4 linked regions of the Arabidopsis thaliana genome follow. The protein of the gene in region 3 purifies or fractionates together with the protein of the main gene of each other region. This does not show direct contact. Each region holds a gene or a part of one and is shown on either strand. Other genes may lie near its edges. The genes, in order: MOR1, GYRA, AT1G62870 and AT3G28155.

Region 1 (4,758 bases), on a different chromosome or scaffold from region 3:
TGTGCCACATGCAATCAACATGAGAAGTAAGTGGTATAGTATAAAAAAGTTCTTTCAGTGAAAGACAACCACAAGAAATAAAACATAGTAAAATGTGCATTAAGCATCAAAACTCACCACTCCGTCCCAGAACCCAGACTTCTCCAAAGGTGTCAAAATGTCCACAGGATCCATAAGATCATACTCATCTATTTCTTGAGGCGCTGATAGTACGGGTAGATAAAAGAAAAAACAATGTAAGCAGACTTCTCATTATTACTTGATGAAGAACAATTCATTGAGGTACAAGCTACTTACCGTCAGCAACAGCTTCTTCACTGGGCCCATCACCCACAACATCAGAACTAGCTTCTGCCTCTGGTTCCTTGTCTTGCTCAGATCTTGAAAGCCAAATACAGAAATAATCTCATTGCAGCTTTACTTTTTCAACTTTAAAATTCACACAGGCTAGAAAAAGGTCTTGAAACCAAAAAGAAATACTCATGCATATCAATTCAATTATTCAGAAATTTGACAGAGGCACATTGAGTATTCACAAAGCATAGGCTGAATTACGGTGAAACTGGATCTGGTTTTACCTTACCAATAAATGTCAAAATATATTAGATGTATGTGCCAATGAATAATTAGGAAAATTAAACAATTATTATCGTATGTGGTAGTAACCTTATCTTTCGAGTAGGCTTGGCACCCGCTGTAACATTGGCAAGCTCAGCCTCCAGCTCTTTTTTCTTACATAGTAACAATGAAACGGAATATTAGGGTTTGCAACAAAGCACAAGAGAATAAATAAAAATTCAAGTGTAACTTCTTCCACTGATTAAAGAAAAACGCAAATCATGGGCAGAATTTACAGGTAAGGTGTGGTTCTTATCCGCAATGGGATCTATCATCTATCTATCTGTTATGACTAGAAACCCCTGTTTCAGTTTTCCAATTCCAAGAAAAATCAAGAGGATTTAATCCAGTTCATATCAACTTGGCAGCATAGCTAAGTTGCAAATGTGCGGCTCAACATAAATCTTACCATCGTATCCCTCATTTTTTCAAACAATATAGACTTTACAGGGTCTTTTCCAATCCAACGGCATAGCTCAAGAGTCACTCCTTTGGCAGATGCACGGACATTCTGATCTTGATGGTCGAAAAGTTCAGGAAGCATCTTTAAAATCCTTTTAGGTGGAATAACTTTTGATCCAAATTCACTAAGGTAGAAATAAAGTAGCGTCGATATTTCAGATAAAAGATTTCATGAACCAATGGAGAAAACTAACAAGGAGTTGAAAACAGACCTTAGAGCTTGAAACATAACGTCTACTGCAGGTACCACAGCCTTTGCAACTTTATTCTTTATAGCTTTCTCCATCGTATCCTACAATCATGCCAAATCTGTTAGCATGTATAAAAACGATGTTATCCTATAAACTATACAACTCCCAGTCTCCCAATATATATCTTGTTGGCAGTTGAAAATTGAAATGACTGAAACAATGCATATCAAGTAGAGTTATTGCAACTTTATACTTGGGAAGTGAATTAAAACTTCTGAAGGAAATGATGTTTTGAACAAAACACTATGGTAGATATCTTGAAAACAACAATAAAGAAGGTATCTAGATTCCTTTCTCCTTCAGAAATAAGTATTATTCATAGCAGAAGTCCAACAGCTTGAGACACGGTGACAACAACTCAAAACTGGAAATGTTGGTTACTGAAGAGGGTGATTATAGGAACAGACCCCAGAAAGTTGATTCTGTTTCTTGACCTTGAACACAGGATGCTCAGGACATCTGTCAGTCATCGTTATTTAAATTGCTCTTTTCCTATGCCACACTAGATACCTAGCATAACACAGAACTGGACAAAGAGCCACAATGCTATATTCTACGTCACTCCTTCTAAGATCAGTATATGGTTGAATTCTGGGTTATAAAGCACTTTCATTTCTATGTCAGCTCACCTATCTAGTTTCAGATACCAGTATCAGCAATCTAGCAAGTAACTCTATGGCTAGATGGTGAACCTATACATCAGAGTGCAAGGGTTAACCGTATGTGTCTAGATAACCCTAGCAGTGTTGCAAAAACATAGAATGAATGACATACCAGAAAAACATCGACGGCCTCTAATTCTACCCAAAGCAAGAAAGCAGCCTGCGCCTTGTCCACAGTATTCTTCCGACCCGTAAGGCATTTGAGCGCAATAGCATCGCAAACTTCCTTTGCATACCTTCAAAAGCAGAAACAAACTAATTATTCACATGCAAACGAACACTCCACTCTGCCCATTTCTAAAGCAATAAAAATAAACAACACCATACCTTCCAGCATCTGAATCGGCTGCTCGCAAAAACGCAATCAATGCATCAAGCGCTTTCTCTTGCACCGGCGCATTAGAATCTGCCACCGTCTTCCTAAACAAGTGACCTGCGAATAAAAAATAATAATCAGAAATTCAATCAAAAGTAAAGCAAAATGGAACCCTAGACCAATCACATTCCCACTCAACAATCCAAATTCAAAACAGATCCACACCGATATAAACCACCCTAATCAGATCTGAGCTTCAAAAACAAAAACCCTAACATAATAATAATAAAAAAACGAGGTAGAGAAACTCACCAAAATCGCGAAGACGAGGGTCCTTAGGATCAGTAATCGAATCAAAAACAGAAGCTAAATCGACGTTAGCTTCGTTCCTAACTTTCCAATTCTTATGCCCAAGCCGATCCTCCCAAGGAAGTTTTTTCGCCTCCTTCAATAACTTCTCATCCTCCGTCGACATTACTCCACGAAATTATCTCTCCGACGGTATCGATCTTATCGATCTATACCAAGTTTTTTTTTTCTTCGTACGGTCTCTTGGAAACTTTCTCTCTCTTTTCAAAAAAATTTCTTCGTGTTGTTAGTGCCGGCAAGAGAGAGAGAGAGAAGGACAAAAAAGAAGAGTAGGGTGGAGCGTAATGAGAGAGAGAGAGTGGGGGAATTTTGGTTTCTACGTTTAAATCGGTGGTGTAATTTTTTTGTTAAAAACCCTTCACGCGCGTTTTGATTGGAAATGTTTACACGCGCGATTATTTCAAATCTTAAAACGAGCGTTTTTCTTTTGCTTTCTCCACGTGGAGAGATCGGCATTTTCAAACTATTTTAGGAAATGATTAACAGTACTGAATTTTCCTATTGTTGGTTCTGTAAATATTTTCAAAATATATTTACATTAACAATCTATTAATTTCTAAGAAAATAAAGTAATATTTTGAAATGAATAACTCATTTTTAGTTATAAAAATATTTATTTTAAAAAATCAACAAAATCATGAGTTATTATTACTTACTTATTGGATTATCTTTTCTTCTATAAAATACAAATAAATAGTCATTTTCTATAAAACTAGACACGTAAACCAAAATGGATTTATTAGTTTGATTATGGAAGTTCAAAAACATTGTGTATTTTATGATTTAAAAACTAGTTAAAATTTATTATTTTAATATCCTAAATATTTATGCTAGGATCTGATTTCGCTTTGGATTTTAATATATTTGAAATATCTAATTCAAATTCAGAATACAAATACTCAAATTTCAAACAAACTTTGATTGATAATTAGTACAAGAATATTTAAGCCACACCACACCTTACACCTTTTCCATCTCCATCCTCATGTCTTAGGTGATGTAACTCTCTATCTCCAGATATCTTTTCTTGTCTACTGCTAACACATGAAACAACAACTCAAATTTAAGCCATATTTTTACAATGGTACCAAATTTATAAGAATCATAGATGAAATTACCAAAACAAGAAGTTACGTGGAAAGATTGAATCCAATATTAATATTTTGATTTCTATTATAAAAGCAAATGAAATAATGATTATCAGTCCATTGTTTGTTCCATTTTTAAGTACACTTGTTTGTTTGATTTAGGTGAATAAGATCCGCTAAAGCTGAAAATACAAGAATTGTCCCTAAAGATAGTAAAGTACAGTACGCTTCCAAATAAATAACAATGGGCTTTAGTAGGCCCACGCAATAACGATGTTTTAACTGACCCAACAAGCCCTTGTCCAGTTCTGGCATTATACAATGCGTCGGTCGACACGTGTAATAAGTCATGATCGGCACGTGTGGTCTCCACTTCTCCTCTCTCATTGGTCGTAAACTCGTAACTAGCCGATTCCTTCTCCAAAGTATCTCACATTTCCACTGCACACTCTACTTTCTCTCTCTTCACTCTCTCATAAATCACAACAACAACAAAAAAAAAAAAGTTGTTAGTTAAGACATTGCTTTACAGCTCAATTGCGTCTTCTTCCTCTGTCTTATTCTTCATCTTCATCTTCCTCCTCGCGGATCCATTTTGAGGTTCGTGTAAATTCCCATTCTCTTTCGCCATTTTTTTGGGGGAAGTGAGATTTTGGTCTGAGTTATCGGCGAATCGATTTCGTTTTTTTAGATTATTGAATGGTTTTGTTGACTCTTCAGTTCTTCTTGTGCTGTGATTGCAATGATGTCCTCCGAATTTCGTGATTTAAGTTCGATTTTAGCTATCCGAGCTCCTCTTTAAATAATGAGTTGGGGTTTTATTCTGAAGGTTCGATTTCTGATTTTGCAAATTTGGGAGGTGGATTTGATCCGATTAGATAATCTCACTGTTCTGGGTGCTGTAATTGTTAATGAGACCATGCAAATGTTGTGCATCGATGTTGTGGAACGCTTGATTTGTAATTGAGGATTTGGTTGTCTGATTATTGGAA
Region 2 (8,035 bases), on a different chromosome or scaffold from region 3:
TCTCTTCCATATCTTTCCGCAGAGATGCAGGTATGATGTCCATGCTCGCTATCTTATCCTCATTCTTGAGTCTCATGGCAGTCACTCCCTTTGTATTTCTGCTCAGTGTGCGAACCTAAACAAACAAAAGCCATCAGAGTTTGCTCAAGTATTAAAAGGTTTACATGAAAGATGAATCATTTAGAAAAAATGAGAGCCACAACTTACACCATCACATGTACTCAAGGCGACCATTCCATTTTGGGATGCCATGGCTACAAGATCGTCGCTTGAGCAACAACGAACCCATTTCAGTTCATCACCAGAATTCTGAAGACAAATAATTTTGTTAGAGTAACCTTGTTAAGAAGACTTCCTATATGACTAAGAAGAAAAAGGGGACAAACCAACTGAATTGCTATGATTCCAGTTGAGCGTATTCCTGAAAATAATTTCAAAGATACTTTCTTGATGCAGCCATTCACTGTAAGCATCAGGAGGTAGCGATCTTCAGCAAACTCGCTAACAGGAACAATGGAGGTTACTCTTTCACCTTCCGACATGGATAATATCTGCTTCCACAAGTCACATGAACACAGCAAAACATTAGCCTTTCATAAAATTGAATAATTTTTGACATAGCAGAAGGAAAACATAGATACACAGATATGTAATTACCTGAACCAAAGGTGTACCAGCTGCATTGCGAGAGCATTCTGGAATTTTATATGCACGGGTTGAGTAAACTATACCCCGGTCACTGAATGTACAACAAGTATAAGCAATGAATTACAACAAGGCAGAAAATTAATATCCATGTGCGTAGCAAACACAAAGGAAATTTTGAGGTATACATACCTGAAAAAGAGGACATGGTCATGTGCATGACAAACAAGAAAGTCAGACATTGCATCATCAACTCTTAGTTTCCCAACAGATTTGCCAATTGTTCCACGATGCTGAAGATTGAATGTATCGGCCTTCATTCTCTTCACATAGCCCTTTTCGCTGACTGCCTATAGTCATCCATATCAAAAGTTACAAAACAAACAACAAAAATTTCAACGTTGAGAAACTTTCTAGGTTTAAGTATGCAACATACCATCAGCATCTCTTCATTTGGAATAACATCTATATCTTCTAGATCACCACTGTCAGAATCCTCCAACATTGAACGCCTGGGACTTGAGAATCTGTCCTTCAGCTCTATTGCTTCTTGTTCGATTAACTAAAGAAAAATACAAGAAAAACAACGAAGAGAATAAAGTAGTAAGTAATATACAATGAAGTAAACGAAGCAAATAGTTCAATTTTGGTCTACAAGAAAATCATCATGTATCAGTTATCTTCCTAACATTGGCCCAGAACAGCAACATATAGTAAGCAGCTTTACAGATATAAAAATAAGTACCAAACAAGAAATGGAAGAAGCATTTGAATCCTTATACCACATCATAATGCATGGACTAGATTTTGAACCTCAGTGGACTCAAACAGTCAAGCTTACAAATTTGGAGTACATATATTGATGCATCTATCATTCTACTAGCATCTAGGTGTTCTAAATTTCTAATATCAATAGCCAAAAGAACAGATAACTAAAAAGTGAGTGTGTCACCTTTAGGATGTTTGTTCGGGTTGATAATAGCTGCTCCAACTTTGTAATTTGCTCTGTTAGTGAACTACTTTCATCAGTAAACTTTTTCCGCTGCATTTATGAAGGGAGAATCTAGTTAGAACATTGTCAAGCCTACAAGTTTCATAAATTGAACTTAGCGAGAATAAGAAAGCACCTCAAGAGCAGTTAGCCTTCGAAGAGTTATCTCCAGTATAGCCTCAGCTTGTTTCTCAGAAAGACCATATTCTACATAAGTAAATGTTTGACAAGTGTTAATTTTAATATATGGTATCGTCCCTTACAATAGAGACTTACAAAGCATAAATCCCTAAGAAATCTTTGCAATTAAGATCAAATCTTACAACGAATGAGACTCCAGCAGTTCCAGATAAAAAGACAAGAAATATATAATGTTCAAATGTAATATGGAAGAGTTCACCACAAGATGTATTCTTTTAATAGTGTACATCCTAGACTACATCTATCAGTCCACCTAAGAAAAATTGGCTCTAGTCTACTTTTTGACTCCTAATTCTCGCTCACTTTTCCGAATTCTGTTTATACATCAACCTATAATGTGCAGTTCAAGATTGTTACATTGATTATATTGTCAAAGTAAAATATAGCTCACCACTTTGTAAAGCAGCAGTAGCAGAGGAATGACTTGAGGCCTTCGTGATGAGTTCGATTACTTCGTCCACATTGTCAAGCCCAACCACAATACCCTAAGCATATATACAGTGAAGATATTAGAAAAAATGCTTTACATCATTACATCATGGTCTTCACGAGCAGATTTAAGAAAGTTAAATATTTCTAGTCGCACCTCAATAATATGCTTTCGTTGTTGTGCATGTGAAAGCTTGAATCTTGCACGCCTTTCGACGACAGAACACCTGAAATCTATAAATGCCTACACACAAGCAAGAAACAGAAAGTAATCAACAAATTTACTTTAAAATGTGATTACAGTAGCACAGAAGTAAATATCCTATCTCTGATCTTCACTTTTCTATTACTCCTTGTGGGCTACGTAGATAAATGATTTACATAGACAAGTGGTCACCTGAAGTAGTTCTTTTAATCCCATTAGCTTGGGTTCTCCATCGCAGATACTGTAAAACACAGAATACCATAATCCAGTTACGATAAAGAAAAACGCATATGTGAATACATGATCCTTAATATATTTACAAGCATAACATACTCATTAGAGAATTTTCAACTAGTCATCCTGGAAAATGCCCAAGTTCTTTTATATGCCCACTCTTCAAAAAAGTACAGGAAATAAGAAGTTATCGGTTGATGCAACTCACCCCACCATGTTGCAGCTGAAGCTTGATTGAAGGGCAGTATGCCGGTAAAGATTATTAAGCACAAGTGCAGGATCCCCTCCTCTTTTGAGCTATAGAGAAGTATTGGAAATTATCTTAATTACCTTCCAATATGAAATTTTAAAGCAGACTAATACATCTAAGTGCAGAGGAAACAGTGTAATACCTCAATAACCACACGCATCCCATTACGATCACTCTCGTCACGTATGTCACTTATGCCCTCTAGCGTCTGAAAACAAACACCAACATCAATGAATAAAGAAGAAACTTTGCAAGCATATAAGGACATACTAGAAATGTAACACACCTCTGAGTAAAATAAGTACATATTGCTAAGTGAAGCAAAATAAACATTAGATGTCGCAAGTTTAGTTGTACCTTATTTTCAACAAGTTCGGCAATCTTCTGGACAAGTGTAGCTTTGTTTGTCTGGTAAGGAATCTGCAATAAAGTCACACTAAAGGCATTACTCTACTGCTAATAAACATTTTTGAAACCCTCATCCATGGAGATCTGAACATTAATCTAAAAAACTAAATTGATCACCTCTGTGATAATAACTGCATTCCGCTTTGTCTTTGGATCCAACAATTCAACTTCAGCTTTTCCTCTAACTACAACTCGCCCTCGGCCAGTTCGGTAAGCATCCAAAACCCTTGAAAGCGCAAACACACATTAGAAAATTATAAGAATCCAACATTGTAAAAGGAAATGGCATATGAATGCAAACTATTTTTTTAATAAAGGTATTCAACAAACTCGAGAGTAAATGTACTACACAACATATAAGCTTTCAGAATATTAAAAAATCACTCACACCATCAGAAAAAAACATGATGATTCAAAAACTGCATATGACAGACAAATAAAGGAAAACTATTAACTGGACCATCCTCTTCACTCATTTTCTAGGTTCCTTTTAAGATATAGGTACAGCTTCTGTAATCTGTTAGAATCATAGATCAAAACAAAACAAAATGCTTTTCTATTTCCATAAAAAAAAAGTTTCACACTTTAGAAGTGAGTCTTTCTATTTGATCCTATAGATAGCCTACTCTCAAAAAATTAGCAAACGAGGTGGGCAAACAAAAGTCATTAATGTATAAGATCCCTTTGGGGAGAAATTGGAAAGCAAAGAGTTACCCAAGGTTTCCCATTATTATTCCTCCAGTTGGAAAATCCGGTGCAGGCATGTATTCCAGCAGTTCTTGCAGCTGCCCAGACGAAGAAGAAAGTGGAAACAAAATCTTATGAGTTGTCTACTTATAAAACAGAGGATTTTTCATGTAAAACAAAAGACCCACAAATTGATAAATCACAGAAAAACAAAGGGGAGATGAGTGATACCGTTGCTTCTGGATTATGGATTAAAGCGCAAAGCACGTCTACCAACTCCCCAAGATTATGAGGGGGAATATTTGTTGCCATGCCAACCTAAACAATGTGAAATGATCAAGATTCAACTGCATATTCAATCTCATACAGCAGGGAAAATCTGCACAAGATTAACTGAAGAAATCTCGAACAAAATCTATTAAGGAGTTCAGATTTAAGATTTGTTTGATTATTTTACCGCAATCCCAGAAGCTCCATTCAACAACAAAGCAGGAAGACGAGCAGGCAACACTGCTGGTTCTTTTTGTGAGTTATCAAAATTGGCCACAAAATCCACCTGCCAAAACAAAAGAGGTTAAGGACCATCTAGTTGAGTATCGGTAAACTTGGCAACAAATTAATAGTGAGGTTACCGTATCTTGATCCAGATCAGACAATAGTACTGCCTCTGCCAGTGGCTGCAGAAAAAAAATAAGTACAATCAGCTGAAAACACTGACAAAAATACATGTTCATCTCAAGACAAGAGAAAAAGTAGAGATGAGAGATACACTATAGATAGCAAAGACAAGTGAAACAACTAGAAAAAGTGAATTGCAGGGAAAACCATTTCAACTAGAAGGGAAAGTAAGGTAAAAGGCACTCACATCGAGTCTGCATTCAGTGTAACGCATAGCAGCAGGAGGATCTGCATCTATTGAGCCAAAATTTCCATGGCCTTGGATAAGTGGACATCTCAAGGAGAAACTCTGCCAAAAAAACAAAGGTATTAAAACAAAAAAGTCAGAAGTTTGGGAAGAATCGAATCGTGCCTGAAACATTATTTGAGGACTGGACTACATTCCATGAATTCAGATATTTACCTGAGCCATCCTAACAAGAGAATCATAAACAGCAGTATCTCCATGCGGATGGAATTTACCAAGAACCTGAAAACCCAAAGAATTCAACAGCACAAATCGTTCTTCAGAATAAGATATTTAGAGAAATCGACTGAGAAAACACTTTCCAAAAATCAATAATATACCTCTCCAACAACTCTTGCACATTTCTTGTATGGTTTTTTAGATGACATCCCCAACTCATGCATTGCAAAGCTGGAAGACAAAATAATCGAACATTAGAAGGAACAATACCACTGACTAAGCTTAAAAATATCAGTAGCTTTGAGCCGAACGAAAGTCACTCAACAGAATTCTCCGATGTACTGGTTTTAGTCCGTCTCTAACATCAGGCAAAGCACGTCCAAGCAAAACAGAGAGCGCATACGACATATACGACTCAGTAGCTTCCTTATGTAGCTCAAAAGGCACAATACGAGATTCGTCCCCAGAAACAACCAAACCGCCATTGTTAGCTCCGGACTCTTCCTTGACCTGCTCATCTCCGCGCTTACCAGCACCGACAACGAATTTGCCGGACCGAGGAGTACGGGAGGAGAAGAAACGCGTGGCGGAGGGTTCAGTGCGGCGGAGACGGCATAATGGGTCGGTGAGGGGGAATCGGAAGAAGGAGCGGCGAAGAAGGGAGGAAGAGAGACGGAGAGTGGAGGAGAGAGACATGAGAGAGTTAGGGTTAGGGATTGAAGCAGTGGAATGGCATAATACTGGAGTCATGCCCAGAGGGTTTTAGGGATTTTTACAAGTACAAATGGATTAAAGTGCTAAAACCCTAGAGAGCCACACCGGAGAATTTCTCAGGCGCGAATTTCAATACTTTGGCGGGGGTCTTTGTGTCCAAACAAAAAACTAATCTGTATCTCTATTTGAGATATACACTATTTTATACAAACAAGATTATAATAACTAACTTTCGATTTCAATTTCTAATTTCATACTTGTATAGTGTCTTTGTTAGATCAATTACAGAACTAAATTCACCAATTGTTGAAAATTTAACAAATTTATGGAGAAATGTTAGTCACATTTTTGAAGTTTGCGATTCTTCTATCGACTCGAAAACGGTAGAGAATGATTTACATTATGTATTTGTAGCAAAAAAAATGTATCAAGCAATGATGAAACTCCGACCAAAGAGACCAGAGAATTTCTCAGACAGGATCAAAAAGAGATAAACAAGCAAAGAATCAATAAGCGTGAGAGATATAAGGGACAAAAAAATCGAGTTTAAGTGGGGAAGAAACCAAAAACTCCAGGATTGATCAGAGAAGAACACGAGCAGCGTCACCTGCTTCACAGATGAGAACAGGTTTTCCTCCATTTAGATTGTTAGCAAACTCGGGTTGGGCCTTTTCATATTCATCCTTCACATATGAAGCAGCTGCCTCAGCTTTTTCTGCATCTACAAAGGCTAGACAACATCCCCTGAAACCTGCACCGCTGAATCTAGCTCCATATACACCAGGAGCCTTCAGAAGAATCTTGTATAGCTGGATCAGTGGCTCCGCACCTTCACAAAACTCACAGAATTTAAAACCAAAATAATGAATCTAAGAGAGAATAATGTCTGTAAGCATACTAGTGGTCTGTATTCACTATAGGATATGTTGCATTTGGGAGAGAAGAAAAGAGAGTGTAATGTACCGCATTCGTAATTCTCAATGGAACTCAAGCCGGATGCTGAAATTAGCTTTCCAAATTCTTCAAGATTCCCTGAAGCCCAGGCTTCCCGTCCTGAAATTTAAGAACAAACATTCATAAAAGTCCGTTAAGCATCATAAAGAGCTTAATGAATCATTCATGCACATAAAGAGACATCTACAAGAATTCAAGAACATTTGCCTTTGATAACTCGCATGTTCTCCGAGAAATAATGCTCTGCTCTTTTAGCTAAAACCGGTTTCAGCTCATGCTGCACGAACAAGTATTATTGTATTACATATTTACATAGGCCTGATATAGGTGGAACCTGTTTTACCAAAAGCTTAAGAATCTTATTTTCTTACCTTGTGAGCTTCATAGACCGCATGCTCAACTATTCAGTGGGACAGTTAGAGACATGGCAACAAAGAAAAACTAATCAGCATGCAACGAATAAGTTAAAGTCCACACTTAAAGTTTTTTTACCATTGCACAACGTAGGTTCCAGCTCACTGTTCCCAGATGCACTGAAAAGAAAAAGTAAATCAAGAGAAGGGTGTGAATCTTGTGATGCAGAAAAATGAGTATCACAAGCAATAGAGAAATAAACTTTGCAGCATTTCCACTGAAATTTAAATCTAAATAAGCGAAAATGTAGATAAATATGAATCAAACAGATTTGCACATACGTCAAAAGAACTTTTGCTGCCTCTTGACACTCAGAAACTCGCAGATTATATCCTGGGTTGGTGGTCAACGCCTGCCTCAAGCCTGAGAATGCTAACAATATCCTGAACGGTTTCTCCAGTTCAGGAGCCTGTACAAGCTCGTGGTCCAAAGTCTGCATATTTCAAACAGTTTTTCTGAGATGGCAGTTTCTGGAAGAAAATAAAGTTTCCCTATCTATGGCTGGTTAGGAAGGATTTCTTCAAGGCCTCCTGATTCTAACCATTCATTTTCATTTTAGGAAGAAGTGAACTCAGCATTGAAATACATTAAAATCGAAGCAATTGAAAAGATTAAACACTTATTTTCTCGTGAAAGCAATGAGAATGTTGTAGATCTGATTTGATCGTGAGTCATTTTCAGTTTAGAGATCAAAAACATCTTAGGCATCCCATTGAACAGTCTTGGTTTTGCCACATGAACAAGCTTCTTGCTTTTTTGCACACTATATCACTTACAAATCAAGGAATTTTACCTTGCAGTCCATGTATGTTAGACACC
Region 3 (5,112 bases):
ATAACTTAACAAAAAATGGTATAAGTAAAAAGAACAACTAAAGAAAAACATGAGATGAGTGTTGTAACAACCATAAGACTCATGAATACCACACAAGACAGTTAAGAAAAGAGAGTATATGTCGTTGTAAAAAAGGGATAGGGTAAAAGTCAACTATTTCAGTAGAAAAAGTAAGAAATTTAAAGAGAATTTACTAAAATATCAAAATAACACATCTACGACAAACAATGCAATTCCATAATGCTAATAGATTAAACAACTCAGATTAAACATATGTAGTGTCCAAAACAAACATTACGGAAAAAAACGTTGGTTTATTATGTTATATTTATCCATTTTTGTTGTCAACAACATTTGTCAATTATATTAAAGAAAAAAATGTTCACGAATTCTAAAAATTACAAAAATTGTCACTATTTGTCACTGATACAAAAACTCAGGATGACAATCAGGAAATTTTGTTTTCATTCTTACAAGAAATATGATAATAGTGGTTTGAAACATATTGATTTTTGTATTGAATTTTTTTTTATCAGGAATAAAATACTAGCAATAATATTACTCGTAGTAAACTTTCAAAAAAAAATTATAATTTTTCTTGAGAAAAAATAGTTTATTTTCCAGTTAATAGTTTTTTCAAAAAAAATGAAAGTAGAGTTTCTATTATACTATGTAACATGCATTATACTACTTCAAGTAGAAACAAATTGTAATGGTGAGTAAATGTCTTTATTACTGAACCAATTATATTCAAAAATATTTTTTTTGTCACAGTCAATAAATATATTTTTTACTGGATTCTGAAAATAATAAATAAGTATTTACTAAAGAATGTCCTTTTGGTCAACAACTCTCTCTCACACACACAGAGAGACACAGTCCCTAAAGAAACAAATTAAATTCCTAGGTTGCCCTTTTATGCCCACATTCTGAATATATCCCACATAGACAACAAGACACAAATGGAAACCCCACTCATCATTTTTTTGTATTTTTCCTTCTTTTACAATCATAATTATACCCAAAAAAAAAGTAAAAACATTAAATTAATAAAAAACATGTCTTTCACTCACTCATTTACTAACACTTTCACACAATTATCTACTTTTAAAAGAATCATTTAATGATTTAGTACTAAATTTGTGAGCTGCTTTGCTTATGTCATTGAATGATTTACCCTGTTAATAGTATTTATATTGGTGGGTTAGTTCATAACACGAATCATATACCAAATTTGATTACGTGGAATAGTTGATACTATACAATAGTAGATCAATATTTTATAATCATATAAATTAGAAAAAGAGGAAACAGACGAAGACCTCTTCCACACAAGAACCCAACAATTCACTCAAAAAAAACAGAAAAATATGAAAACAAGACACATCCAAAAATATTTTTTTAAAAAAAACTGAAAAAGTGATATTTATTTTTATTAAAAAGGTATAAAACCAATAATATATAGTATTAAAAATACCTTTATGGAGAGCGTGAGAATCACGTGCCAATGAGAGTGAAGTGAGAGACTAAAACAACCAATGCTTTGTTTCCGTTCTCGTACGACGTGGGACTCTGGTCTCACCTTGTTCCTATCAAACGTTTCATTCAATGTTACAAACACGCGCTTACCTTATGCGCGTGAGATTCACTTTTGTCTCCCTTATTTTCTTCTCCTTCCTCTCTCTGTCTCTCTCTACTGTCTCTTTCTTTCTTCTTCTTCTCCTTTTTGAAATTTCTCAGTCTCTTAAAAAATAGAATCGAAAGAAACTATCAGTGTGATAGCAGAGCAGAGAGGAACAAAGTTTTTTTTTTTTTTCAGAGGTGAAGCAAAAACAGAGACAAAGTTTATTTATTTCTATTTCTGTTCTCTGTTATGAGGAACCGCCGGAGTTATCTCCGACCGCCGGCGAAATTTTCTCTTCAATTTCATCAAAATCCACTAGTCTCAGCTTAATTTCGTTCAGGGTTGTTGTTTAAGTTTTTTGACTTTACAATGGCGACGACGACAAACGCAACAACAACGGCGACACAACAGCAAACGCAAACGCAATCACCAACGCAACAACCGTCGGCGGAAGAATTAGCGACAAAGGCGTTACAAAAGCGTTACGAAGGATTAATGATGGTAAGAACAAAAGCAGTTAAAGGCAAAGGCGCGTGGTATTGGAGTCACCTTGAACCAATCTTACTACACAACACCGACACTGGTTTCCCTAAAGCCGTTAAACTCCGATGTTCTTTATGCGACGCCGTTTTCTCAGCTTCTAATCCTTCCCGAACTGCTTCTGAGCATCTTAAACGTGGAACTTGTCCAAATTTCAACTCTTTACCTAAACCCATCTCCACAATCTCTCCTTCTCCTCCTCCTCCTCCGTCTTCTTCTCACCGGAAACGTAATTCCTCCGCCGTGGAAGCTCTGAATCATCATCATCATCATCCTCATCATCATCATCAAGGGTCTTATAATGTGACGCCTCTTAGTGTCGTTGATCCCTCGAGATTCTGTGGGCAGTTTCCGGTTACACAGCAGCCGCATTTGATGCTTTCCGGTGGAAAAGACGATTTGGGTCCATTAGCTATGCTTGAAGATAGTGTGAAGAAGCTCAAGAGTCCTAAAACTTCTCAGACGCGGAATCTAACTAAAGCTCAGATAGATTCTGCGTTAGATTCTCTCTCTGATTGGGTTTTTGAATCTTGTGGCTCTGTTTCTTTATCTGGTCTCGAGCATCCAAAGTTGAGAGCTTTTTTGACGCAAGTTGGTTTACCGATCATCTCAAGGAGAGATTTTGTCACCGGAAGATTGGATTTGAAGTATGAAGATTCGAGAGCAGAGGCTGAATCGAGAATCCACGACGCAATGTTCTTTCAGATTGCTTCTGATGGATGGAAATTCGACAGCTCCGGCGAGAATTTGGTGAATTTGATTGTGAATTTGCCTAATGGGACGAGTTTGTATAGACGAGCTGTGTTTGTGAACGGAGCTGTGCCGTCTAATTACGCAGAGGAGGTTTTGTGGGAGACGGTGAGGGGTATTTGTGGTAATTCACCTCAGAGGTGTGTTGGGATTGTTTCAGATAGGTTTATGAGTAAGGCATTGAGGAATCTTGAGAGCCAGCATCAATGGATGGTGAATCTCTCTTGTCAGTTTCAAGGTTTCAACAGTTTGATTCGAGATTTTGTAAAAGAGCTTCCTTTGTTTAAATCCGTCTCTCAAAGCTGCTCGAGGCTCGTTAATTTCGTGAACAGCACGGCACAGATCCGAAACGCGGTTTGTAAGTATCAGTTGCAAGAGCAAGGAGAGACTAGGATGCTGCATTTGCCTTTGGATAGTTCTTTGTTTGAGCCATTGTATAATCTCCTTGAGGATGTGCTTAGTTTCGCTAGAGCGATTCAGCTGGTGATGCATGATGATGTGTGTAAGGCTGTTCTAATGGAGGATCATATGGCTAGAGAGGTTGGTGAAATGGTTGGAGATGTCGGGTTTTGGAACGAGGTAGAGGCGGTTTATTTGTTGTTGAAGCTTGTTAAAGAAATGGCTCGGAGAATAGAGGAAGAGAGGCCTTTGGTAGGGCAATGTTTACCGCTATGGGATGAGCTAAGGTCCAAGATAAAAGATTGGTATGCAAAGTTCAATGTTGTTGAAGAGAGGCAAGTAGAGAAGATCGTTGAGAGAAGATTCAAGAAGAGTTATCACCCAGCTTGGGCTGCGGCGTTTATACTTGATCCGCTTTACTTGATAAAAGACAGTAGCGGAAAATATCTTCCTCCATTCAAATGCTTGTCCCCGGAGCAAGAGAAAGATGTTGATAAGTTAATAACAAGGCTTGTGTCTAGAGACGAGGCACATATCGCGATGATGGAGCTGATGAAATGGAGAACAGAAGGGCTTGATCCGGTTTACGCAAGGGCGGTTCAAATGAAGGAGAGAGATCCTGTTTCGGGGAAAATGAGGATAGCTAATCCACAAAGTAGTAGACTTGTTTGGGAAACTTATCTTAGTGAGTTCAGGTCATTGGGGAGAGTTGCAGTTAGGCTTATTTTTCTCCATGCAACTTCTTGTGGTTTCAAATGCAATTCCTCTGTTTTGAGATGGGTAAATTCGAATGGAAGATCACGCGCAGCCGTGGATCGAGCTCAAAAGTTGATCTTTATATCCGCTAACTCGAAATTCGAAAGGAGAGACTTCTCCAACGAGGAAGAGAGAGATGCGGAGCTGCTCGCTATGGCGAATGGCGAAGATGATGTGCTAAACGATGTTCTCATCGATACATCCTCAGTGTGACTTGTTAATTTTTACCAAATTTAGTTTTTCACTAGAACTTGGCCATTTTGTAGGATTGCTTGAATTCATTTTTTTTGTTGTTAACTTTTTTTTTTACTACCCTTAATTCAATTTGTACTTGGCTCCTTTAGGAGGTGAGAAAGAGAGCCATATCATTGTATTTCTTTTAGTCTATTTTGATCATAATTTTAGGCAATTTTTCCGTGTCTTTTTTCGAACTTAAGCAATGATCTTGAGACTGATTTTGAAATTCTTGCATACAAGCGACTCTTGTAAAGTTCTTGTCTATATCATATTACCATTAGAAGTTTCATGTTTCTGCACACATTTGGTTTGCGTAGCAATGAAATCTAATGTGAATCGACCTCTCGTCGTGATCATCATCAATCTATTGGTTCAAAAGGTCCAAGGTTGTAGTTAAGAACATTAATGGCATCAACAGAAGATTCAACGACAGCTTCATTCATCTTCTGTATTGTACATTGTAATGATCTCTTTTGTTCTGTTGTTCTTTTGTTCTTTTTTCATTAACGTTAATATTCTTAATCATGACTCAAAACAATGTCTTTTCCATTTCAAGAAATTGACTTAATAAAACATTTTATTTTTGAACATTTTTCACGTTCTTGCTTCATCATAACATGTTAGTCTCTATTGATGTCGACGACGAAAGATGTAGACCTTTTTGTCACCTAAGAACTGAACCGGGTTTTCGGGTTCACTTCAACTATGATTACGATTATCTATCTATCTAACTTATCAATCTATCGAGTAGTTTCTTTAAAATCTTTTCTCAAAAAATGTGGATCCCCCACTAGGAAAGCAAATTT
Region 4 (3,454 bases), on a different chromosome or scaffold from region 3:
TTGGGTAAACAAAAGTGGGTGAGAATTTCTGTTTTTAGTAAAAAGGTTTGGTTTAAATCTGGTTTTTCAAAAAGTAGTAACTAGAAATAGAATCTCGAAACTCATGCGAGGGAAAGTTTTTTTAGCTTTCTTTCTCCTCTTCCTATATTTTCTATTCCCTCATATCGGGGAACAATTTCTATGAATTGTTATTGACATTAAATTATAGTAAATTAGAGAGAAAGTATTTGTTCGTTTTTGTCGATTATATCCATGAGAACTCTTGTTTCAGGTGATTGTGTTTGTCGATTTTTTTTGTTGTGTTTCGTGGCATGTGAAGTTTTTGTTTGAAGTGTGGAGTTTTTGTCGATTTGTTTTGTTGTGTTTCGTGGCATGTGAAGTTTTATAGTTTGAGTGTAGAGTTTTAGTTTTGTTTGATTATTTTTTGTTGTGTATTTGTGATTGTGAAGTTTTTTTATCTGTCGTGTTTGTGTATTTGGTGCGAGTATTTTTGTCTTGAGAAGAGAGACATGGAGATTTTACCTGCCTCTTCATTTGTTCTGGACTACGGGATTTGCCTTGACGACTTTGGTAACCAAAAGACCTGTACACATGCATGAAGCAAGAGAAATATCAAATAAGAGACTAAAAAACAGAGAAAATTATTTGACCCTTTATGTAAAAGAAACATGAGGAACAACTTACCTTAATATGAAGTATCTAAGAAACTGTTTGGCTCTCCCAAGTCTTCGAGAATACGATTCCATACTTAATTTGATATCTTGCCCCTTAAGTGTTGTAGCTCTGCAATAAGGAATGCCAATATTTTTTTTTTAACTTACAAATTGAATACAAAAGAAAATATGTGAAGAGACGGATGAAACTAACTGATCTTGCTTCAAGGTACCACTAGAAGTAGATTATGGAATATTTGAAACACCTTTTGATACTGGCCCCGCCGAAGCTTTTGATGATTCAAGTCGTTAGTAGAGAGGAGAGAACATGTTAATCAGACAACCAGATCATGAAGATTGGAGAGGTACCTTGAACAAATCCTGGTCTTGCTTTTTCAAGCACAAGAGCTAGTGATGAGCCTTTTATATCTTTGATATTCATTTCCATCTGAGAAAAATGCATACGACTAATCCGATATTAGGTTCAAGCCACGAATAGAACAAGCTAACCCAAGGATACCTACCGTGTCTTGTCCACTGACTCTCCAGATCTCGGAAAGGCATCCTTCCACTATTTTTCGCAGATCTTCTGGTTGGTCCTGGAAATATCAGTAGAAACATAACAGAGTAATAATTATTACAAACAGACTTATTTAGTGATTCAAGATAATGAGGCGGTATAAATATTTTAGATCAGTCACAGACTCACCATCACTGCGGTTACTTGCAGGTTTCAGTAAATGTGTAGCATCCACAAAGTCACTTAATCCAGCAACCTGTTTTGTCAAGCAATCAAAAAGATCTATAAAAACCACTTTTAGTGGTATTAGAATCTGCATTAACAGGATACAAAAGACTTGTTTAAAGAAGTTCACCAACCATTTTATCAACAACAGCCAAGGTAAATTCTCTCATGTGCTTTATGTTGTTAGTGAGGCATTTCAGAACATCAGACAAAATTCCCTAAACTAGATCATTCAAGTATTTGGTAAAAATGGCAGGCATTGATATTTTACAATGTAAAAGTATTTTCAACGCTTGACATGTATCCCTAACCTTGCTCGCCTTCTTGACAGCTGGTCCCATGGCTGCTGCAACACCTCCAATGGTAGTCAATGTTTGCATCACAAGACTAAAAGTTGTCCCCGTGGACCACCGAATAATTCTACTACTGAACATGATACGAACGGTACATATAACAATTATAAGGATTCATGACTAATTATGTAATGAAAAAAAAAACTTAAATAACAGAGAATTATAGAAAAATTCCTGAGTTCATACCAGTTCCATTTGGTTGGATACGTTTATTAGCCCCTTCCAGAATTTTATTACAGCTTCAATTGGATCCAAACGTATCTACAAAAATTTAAAACACTCAGTTTCAACTCTACAGCTTAGAATAATTTTTTCACAAAAGAATTGTTAGCAACAAAAAAAGATTTCAAAATCAGGAATCTCAAAGCCTTTTTACCGACGTCTATCTAACTCTCTTCGGTGCCGCAGTCCCCTGATGAACAACAGACAAGTAAAAACAAGAAATCTAAAAGACCATCCACAAAAATGAACCAAACAAACACATGTTAGGCAAAGCAGAAGTAGCTTAAAAGGAATTCGTAAGTTTCAAAAGTGAGACACCAAAGTCATCAACTGCCGAAACAATCCAGAATAAGCCTTCACTATGAACCTTGGGATTGTTGTGCTCTTTCATGATTCTGCAAAGCTACAAACAAAAGTCATGAATCATCATTGTGATCAGATTAAAATGAAAGTCGATAGAAAATTTACCGAACCAGCACAAACCCTTTCGATCAGCTGCTTCACAAAAAGAAGTAGGCCACTTCATTGTAGAGGCTCATATCTTTATATCTGAAACTGAGCCAAGAAAGAATTTTGTAAGAAAAAGATAAAACTGACGTCTAAATACAGCATTCAGTTTCTAAAAGTTACTTTTTCTTCTTCTATTACTAACCTGTAATGCAAAGTATGACACATTTCTTTTGCCGCAGTTGAAGATATGAGTGATGATTTGCAGAACCTGCTTTTCCAAGTAATATTCTCAGGGAATAATTCGATAATTACATATAAGAAGATTTTAAATGGAGTAACAAGCATACCTCACATTTTTTCTCATTTTAACCTGGAGCTGCACCTGCACACAACAACCGACCAAGATTTCCTCTGACTTGTCTAGTTCTTCTAGAACTTCTATCTCTTCTTTCAAAGTCAAAGTTGATGCACGGCAATATAATATAATGCAAAATCATCAAACTCAGTAATAATTAACAAAAAAAAAGAGCTAAAAAAGAGCTTCAGTGGCATGTTGTCAAGATGCACAGCCCCACGACAAAAATTAGCAGCCAAGGTACATTCTCTCACGTGCTTCTTGTTGTCACTTATCACCGAGAGACGTTTCAGAGAAATTATGAATGTGCAAGCGAAGCAAGTATGTAGTATGTATGAATGTATGTATGTGTGGATGCATCATGCATTATGCATGAATGTGCTAAAAAAGAGCTTCAGTGGCATGTGCTAATGAGGCTTTGATATGAATACAATGCAACATGGAACATAGCATGGATATCAAATGCAGTAACAGAATAAAAAATACTATAATTCAGTGGCATGTTGTCAAGATGCACAGCCCCACGACAAAAATTAGCAGCCAAGGTACATTCTCTCACGTGCTTCTTGTTGTCACTTATCACCGAGAGACGTTTCAGAGAAATTATGAATGTGCAAGCGAAGCAAGTATGTAGTATGTATGAATGTATGTATGTGTGGATGCATCATGCATTATG

The links.
Region 1: the proteins of AT1G62870 (region 3) and MOR1 fractionate together in Arabidopsis thaliana (co-fractionation; one large-scale study listed by BioGRID). This does not show direct contact.
Region 2: the proteins of AT1G62870 (region 3) and GYRA fractionate together in Arabidopsis thaliana (co-fractionation; one large-scale study listed by BioGRID). This does not show direct contact.
Region 4: the proteins of AT1G62870 (region 3) and AT3G28155 fractionate together in Arabidopsis thaliana (co-fractionation; one large-scale study listed by BioGRID). This does not show direct contact.

The regions. Positions count from the first base shown.
Region 1 is NC_003071.7:14,964,854-14,969,611, reverse strand, and holds the start of MOR1 (ARM repeat superfamily protein), read right to left. Parts: upstream 3,039-4,758; 5' UTR 2,785-3,038; coding exon 2,622-2,784; intron 2,427-2,621; coding exon 2,321-2,426; intron 2,230-2,320; coding exon 2,106-2,229; exon of another isoform or gene 1,802-2,105; coding exon of another isoform or gene 1,739-1,801; intron 1,373-1,738; coding exon 1,293-1,372; intron 1,206-1,292; coding exon 1,028-1,205; intron 732-1,027; coding exon 667-731; intron 381-666; coding exon 298-380; intron 204-297; coding exon 118-203; intron 1-117. UniProt on the Arabidopsis thaliana protein: Microtubule-binding protein that is essential for cortical microtubules organization and function. Essential for maintaining the interphase cortical array and for correct morphogenesis.
Region 2 is NC_003074.8:3,340,360-3,348,394, forward strand, and holds the start of GYRA (DNA GYRASE A), read right to left. Parts: upstream 6,002-8,035; 5' UTR 5,885-6,001; coding exon 5,460-5,884; intron 5,366-5,459; coding exon 5,296-5,365; intron 5,198-5,295; coding exon 5,132-5,197; intron 5,018-5,131; coding exon 4,916-5,017; intron 4,728-4,915; coding exon 4,683-4,727; intron 4,607-4,682; coding exon 4,508-4,606; intron 4,369-4,507; coding exon 4,282-4,368; intron 4,149-4,281; coding exon 4,078-4,148; intron 3,590-4,077; coding exon 3,481-3,589; intron 3,376-3,480; coding exon 3,313-3,375; intron 3,164-3,312; coding exon 3,098-3,163; intron 3,003-3,097; coding exon 2,914-3,002; intron 2,713-2,913; coding exon 2,664-2,712; intron 2,511-2,663; coding exon 2,424-2,510; intron 2,323-2,423; coding exon 2,229-2,322; intron 1,844-2,228; coding exon 1,773-1,843; intron 1,688-1,772; coding exon 1,598-1,687; intron 1,208-1,597; coding exon 1,082-1,207; intron 996-1,081; coding exon 838-995; intron 740-837; and 7 more. Other genes in the region: GalAK (galacturonic acid kinase), read right to left, coding at 6,430-6,677, 6,812-6,901, 7,010-7,079, 7,174-7,202, 7,295-7,335, 7,498-7,649, 8,010-8,035. UniProt on the Arabidopsis thaliana protein: A type II topoisomerase that negatively supercoils closed circular double-stranded DNA in an ATP-dependent manner.
Region 3 is NC_003070.9:23,283,390-23,288,501, reverse strand, and holds AT1G62870 (uncharacterized protein), read left to right. Parts: upstream 1-1,704; 5' UTR 1,705-1,993; coding exon 1,994-4,282; 3' UTR 4,283-4,590; downstream 4,591-5,112.
Region 4 is NC_003074.8:10,484,253-10,487,706, forward strand, and holds AT3G28155 (uncharacterized protein), read right to left. Parts: upstream 1,740-3,454; coding exon 1,710-1,739; intron 1,617-1,709; coding exon 1,533-1,616; intron 1,430-1,532; coding exon 1,363-1,429; intron 1,253-1,362; coding exon 1,178-1,252; intron 1,102-1,177; coding exon 1,049-1,101; 3' UTR 1,023-1,048; intron 944-1,022; 3' UTR 887-943; intron 784-886; 3' UTR 685-783; intron 681-684; exon of another isoform or gene 584-680; 3' UTR 529-583; downstream 1-528.